2 linked regions of the Macaca mulatta genome follow. The protein of the gene in region 2 purifies or fractionates together with the protein of the main gene of each other region. This does not show direct contact. Links are inferred from orthologs where the notes say so. Each region holds a gene or a part of one and is shown on either strand. Other genes may lie near its edges.

Region 1 (3,660 bases), on a different chromosome or scaffold from region 2:
TACTTTAGTAATTTAGATTTATGTCACCTTAACTTTAATGAAGATAAATCAAAAGGTAATTGGTGGATTTACCTTTCCTCTGTGTTGGCGGATACCCTTCCATAAAGGCTTTAACACAGAATCAAAAGATTCGATACCATAAGGAGTTGCTGCTTCAGCCAAGGCAGCAATGGCCAAAGCACTGATGGTCCGAACTTTCTGCTGCTCATCCACAAGACCTACAAAACCAAACACAGGTTTTAACTATGCCCCAACATTACCTAAGTCACACAATGTCATCCAGATTCTCACAATATATCAACTATTTAGCCAAACTACAGAATACGTTCACATTAAAATTAGGTAAAAGCAAAATATGAACCATAGCCTGTTAGCAGATAATATTACAAACCCATCATAAAATCTATAGTTTGTACAGTTATGCCTTTCCATTTATCTCCCCAAATCAGTAGCCCAAATTTTAGGACAGCTGTCTATTAAAAGTAGACAGGCTGTGTGTGTACTTCTAGTCCCAACTACTCAGAAGGCTGAGCAGGAGGATCACTTGAGCCCAAAAGTTTGAGTCCAGTCTGGGCAACATAGTAAGACCCTGTCTCTTAAAGAGAAAAAAAAAAAAAAAGTTACATTACAACTTACCATGTTCAATGATTTCAACTAAACTTCTAAGATGTGGCAAGATGGCACAGCCCATAAGAATAGCTATCTGTTGTACAATCTTAATACCAGTGTGTCTCGCTTGCCAGGACTTCTTGCTTTTGCACACAGCTTTTAAGAAAGGCAATAAAGAAGGAATGCCCAGGGCAGAGGCTACAACAGCAAAAGCTCTAGCTGTTGTGTTACGGACATACTCATCCATGTTATCTATATCAGGTCTCATGGTAGAGATCATAGTAGCCAGACCAGCAGCCTAAAAAGTAAACAAAGAAAGGACAGTCATGAGTTGGTAATATTAATCTTCAACCATTTCCTTCCATAATCAAATAATTCCATAAACAGAAATAAATTGTCTTCTCTAGAAATTAAATGTAAATACCTTTGCCAAATTAGAAATGATCTCTCGGCCTTCCACTCTAGCATAGTAATCTTCATCAATCAATAGTGGTTCAATGACCACAAGGATCTGAAAAAGAGAAAAAAGAGAAGCAGCTACACTTTCACATCAATTACTGATGAAATACTCATGTACAGAATTAAACATATACAAGAAATTTAGATTTATCAGGATTTTCGTTAATCAAGGGACAAATTGTTTAAGAATTTTAATTACACAAGTTCAAACTCCAGATAGAGATGAAAATTTAAGAGAGCTATTAGTGACACACTAATATTCAATATTTTTTAAAGAAATAACTTATATGCCCCATGAACATACTGCACCATAATTAACATCGGTGAAAAAACTGGTTCTTAATACTAACTGGCACAGTACAGAATCACATATGTTCTCCTCCTAATCTAATCTCAATAAAAGCAAATGAAAATATTAAATAATATGAATGTCTTATGGCAAAGATGATAAAAACTAATGTCTGTACATCTGTATAAAACTGTATTTGTACATGTATGATGTGTACTTGTGCAAAGAAAAAGGTCTAGAGGGATATGTAAATTTAACATTGATTAACTGAAAAAGTTAAAATATTAAAACTATCAGAAACACTATTAAGAACAAACCTTATGCACATATGGACGAACTAAGTCATCAAGTTTGTATAGTATCCTATCAATAACTTTCACAAGTAAATGACGCTCTTGATCCTCAAGTGTAGGAGACATCAGTAGAGGAAGAATCTGATTAAACAAAGGACCAGCTCCAAATTCACGAGCTTTATCAGTAATCTGACGCAATGCAGCCTGGGAAAAAGAGCAGAGTATAGGTGTGGTTTCTTTACAATCAAGCATTTTGAATGAGCAAATTACTCAAAGAAGATTTTCCATAATTTAATATGTGTTTACTTTTACACACATTTTACACAGACAGCATGAGTGCATTTCCATCCAAATTACTCTGGAATTTCAACTACTGTGATAGATATTTTATGTTAATTCAAAAGAGTAATTTAATAGAACAAAAGAACCACAGAGGTATGTACCAAATTAGCCTTCACTTCCCCTAAAGTATCTTCCATTTCCAAGGCACATATAGTGTTAATATAATCCCTCACTAATTTCACTAATTATCTTCAAGCTTTAAGCATATTTTAAAGGCCTTGAGAAATGGAGAATCTCGTATTTCAGCATCTTTATTAGCTTTTTTAACCAAAGAATTCTGTGCTAACTCCAGCTGGGCATGGTGGCTCACACCTGTAATCCCAACACTTTGGGAGACTGAGGCAGGAGGATCTCTTGAGCCCTGGAGTATTTAAATAATAAAAACAAACGGCTGGGCACGGTGGCTCACGCCTGTAATCCCAGCACTTTGGGAGGCTGAGGCAGGTTAATCATTTGAGGTCAGGAGTTCAAGACCAGCCTGGCCAACATGGTGAAACCCCGTCTCTACTAAAAATATAGAAATTAGCAGGGCGTGGTGGTGCACACCTGTAGTCCCACCTACTTGGGAGGCTGAGGCAGGAGAATTGCTTGAACCCAACAGGCAGAGGTTGCAGTGAGCCAAGACTGCACCACTGCACTCCAGCCCGGGCAAGACAGCAAGACCCTGTCTCAAACATATATATATAATATTAATAACAAAAACAAGCAAAAAAGTTAAATCCTTCACACTAATTTTTTTCCATCATGCTATGTCCTTGATAAAGATGAAGAAAGTAATTATAAATTCCTAAACACAAAAATATAACACAACCAAAAGCTAATTTTTTTGTGGGGAAAGCTTTCTAAATAACCTTTACCAATTTGGGCTACTTGGAAGAGTAAAGGAAAGACCGCACTCCAGCGGGTTATACCAATAGTTCAGTACTATTTTGTGGCCTACTTTTCCTGGTGAAAAAATTAAAAACATTTTTAAAAATATAAACTTGGCCAGGTGCAGTGCCTCACACCTGTAATCCCAGCACTCTAGGAGGTAGGCCAAGGCAGAAAGATCACTTGAGACCAGCCTAGGCAACATGGCAAAACCCTGTCTCTACAAAAACTACAAAAAATTTTTTTTTATTTAAATAAATAAGCAACAAACATGACAATTTAACAAACTGAGACTTACCTTTCTCATTGGTGGTGTTCCATTCTTAATTTTTAAAAGCAACTTCATTATTTTTCTCTCTTTTTGCTCTTCTGGACTAAGTGTTGATTCATCAACATCAACCTACAGTAAAAAGAAAAAAATGTTAAGGGAAGTTGAAATGTTATGATTTATAATTCTGGAACAAAATGTAATAGTTTATTTCTGCTAGTATCACTTACCAATAGTTTATCAAAGTACTGAATATCATCAGGCTTTAAAAATGGAAGATTTCCAGATGGCTGATCATTAACACTTTTCATAGTTCGATCTTCAGTTTGCATGTGGAAACCAGTCATACCACCCAAAGGTGTTGGAGTAGCTGTCAGTTTTCGAGCTGGAGTTCGAATAGGAACATAACCAGCTGGAGGAGGAAGTACCTGATAAAAGTTATAAGACAGTTTAGGATTTTCTTAACTTAAAAAACAGCATAAGGATCAATATTTGCACTTAAAATATTTTAGTTTATTAGCTAATAAGAT
Region 2 (2,482 bases):
GCGTTTCAAAGCTTTGTCATGATGGCGCTGCAGAAAGCGAGCGAGCTAGGCCTACCTGGTGGGGCTTTCAGAGGACGCCAACGTGGGCGCCAGTCACGCCAGAAGGGTCACCGTCATTCCCAAGGACAGACACCTCTCTAGCCACTGCTGCGGAGAGGGCGTGATTAAGCCATGAATTTTGCTTACTATCCCAGAAGCATTTCTTAGGACCACCCAATTTCGGAAAAGGCTACTTTAGCAATATTGACCCAAGAACGCAATGTCCGCACTTTAACCTTGCATAATAAAAAAGCCTCAAGCCTGGGACTAGGCTTCAACCTTGGTTCGTTACAGTTATGACTAATTAGCTTGGGGTCGTGAGATGCGGGACTTCGGGCTACTTAAAAAAAAAAAAAAAAAAAAGCAAAACAGGTGATCTAAAATTCGACTTTAACTCGGTGCATTTGAATTCACCTTGCTATCTTTGATAGCCTCATCTGGCAAGAATTTACTACTCAACCTATGTTAAAGTTCCTATTGACTCTCCAAGTGATTCTAATATAAATGAGGGCGTATTGCATTTGCTTGGGGGAATTTCATCTGTGTACTACAGCTCTTTTCCCGAAGTGTGTAGGTGGCTCTTAAAAGAGCCGTTGGGTTAGTAAAGTTTCCAACCGAATTTACTTTTTCTTGGGTGCCGCTTTCTTGGGTTTGGCAGTCTTTGGCTTCGTCACCTTAGCCTTGGCCGCCTTGGGTTTTATAGCCTTAGTTTTAGCAGGGCTTTTAGCTACTTTCTTGGGTTTTACAGCTTTGGGTTTTTTGGGACTCTTAGAGGATTTCCTTGTTGCCGCAGACTTTTTAGCATTTTTTGGAGTCTTGACGTTCTTTTTGCTAACCCCCGTGGCCTTTTTGGGCTTTTTAGACGCACCCGTTGCCTTGGTTTTTGCAGCCACCCTTGAAGCGCCGGGCTTGGTTTCCACGGAGGATGCCTTCTTGTTGAGTTTGAAGGAACCCGAGGCGCCGGTGCCCTTCGTCTGCACCAACGTTCCCTTGCTTACCAGGCTCTTAATACCCAGCTTAATGCGGCTGTTGTTCTTCTCCACATCGTAGCCTGCGGCCGCCAGCGCCTTTTTAAGAGCAGCCAACGACACACCACCACGCTCCTTAGAGGAGGAAGCAGCCTGCACGATCAGCTCTGACACGGAAGGGCCAGCAGGCTTTTTCTTAGTGGCCACCGCAACCTTAGCAGGTTTCTTTGCCTTCCTGCTAGCTGAAGGTTTCTCAGGAGCAGCAGAAGCGGCGGGAGCGGGAGGCGCCGTTTCGGACATGGTGACTAATACAGCACACCAAGTAAACTGGTATAAACCTGACCAAGCAGGATGCGAGAAAAAAAAGGCCCCGACTCAGCCTATTTATAGGGTGGGACTGCGCAGTGATTGGTGCCCGTCAGTGCCCGCCCCTCGCACCCTAGCGCCCCCTGCGCTCTGCAGAGGGTTTCCCCCAGTCTCAGAGAGCACCTGGGGGCCTCTAGGGCCTATGGTCCCGCTCCCCTCAACGCAAGCAAACACACCGAAAAAGCCGCTCCGATTGCCTCATTGTGAAGGAAATTGTAGGCCGACTGCCACCTAGTAACATCAGAGGGTGCCGCTTGTCTCTCAAAAAGCAGCTCTGTTTTAGGGAGTAGGTTGATGGGGAGCGGTTTGCAAATGCAGCCCCACAAGCATCCAGGGAGTTTTATTAGAAAGTTTTAGAGGTCCGTTGCCAGATATGTTAGTTTTTAATTTGCAAGAAATGTAAAATACAGTGTTTGAATAGTTGGGGAGGAAGAGGAAAGTGCGGGTTTTAGGCCGTGTTAGGGCTAGTAGTCATCAACTCGATTACATTTTCTGGCAATGTTTTAGAGCGATGTGTCTCGCGAATACCTTTCACGTCAAAGAAGAATGAATCGTAGACAACACCAGAATTCACTAACGCTGCAATTAATACTCAAACTGCAAGTGTGGAAACGTTTCTGCACTTGTAACTTACTTCCACAGTCCAATGTGGGATGCACTTCAGGAATTTCCAATGCCCTTTTCATCCATACAACATGCCCCAAATGGGTGTTAAGGTTTACAACCTGTGTTCCATGTCAGCACATGCAATGAGAGCACCATGACATGGTGAACTCATTGTTTTATTCAACAAAGATTTATGGGCCTCACAAACCTGCGAAAGGCGTTAAATGCTGGGTCCAAGAAACTGGTTCCCCGACAGGCATTCTGCTGGGGAGTTAAGTCTCCTTAGTGTGAAAACAAACGGTAAGTGTAAGCACACCCTGGGGATAAGATTTTATGGTAACCTCTCTTTAGCTTGTTTGTGGCTGTTAAGAGCATTTCAAATTATCAATAAGCTAAAACGATCTCACATTGCCAATCAGAGACTCAGCTAACGGGAGAACAAAAAAAACTATTAAATCGACATCCACTTCTACAATCCTATTCTGGATAACCCCCTAACACAG

Evidence for each region.
Region 1: the proteins of H1-1 (region 2) and SF3B1 purify together in Homo sapiens (affinity purification with mass spectrometry; 3 studies listed by BioGRID and IntAct, counting the BioPlex papers as one, with this or other methods). This does not show direct contact. The link is inferred for Macaca mulatta from reciprocal best matches to the Homo sapiens genes H1-1 and SF3B1.

Annotation. Positions count from the first base shown.
Region 1 is NC_133417.1:102,341,179-102,344,838, forward strand, and holds part of SF3B1 (splicing factor 3B subunit 1), read right to left. Parts: intron 3,559-3,660; coding exon 3,361-3,558; intron 3,263-3,360; coding exon 3,161-3,262; intron 2,936-3,160; exon of another isoform or gene 2,800-2,935; intron 1,855-2,799; coding exon 1,675-1,854; intron 1,121-1,674; coding exon 1,034-1,120; intron 908-1,033; coding exon 637-907; intron 219-636; coding exon 73-218; intron 1-72. UniProt on the Homo sapiens protein: Component of the 17S U2 SnRNP complex of the spliceosome, a large ribonucleoprotein complex that removes introns from transcribed pre-mRNAs.
Region 2 is NC_133409.1:157,091,759-157,094,240, reverse strand, and holds H1-1 (histone H1.1), read right to left. Parts: upstream 1,308-2,482; coding exon 660-1,307; downstream 1-659. UniProt on the Homo sapiens protein: Histone H1 protein binds to linker DNA between nucleosomes forming the macromolecular structure known as the chromatin fiber. Histones H1 are necessary for the condensation of nucleosome chains into higher-order structured fibers.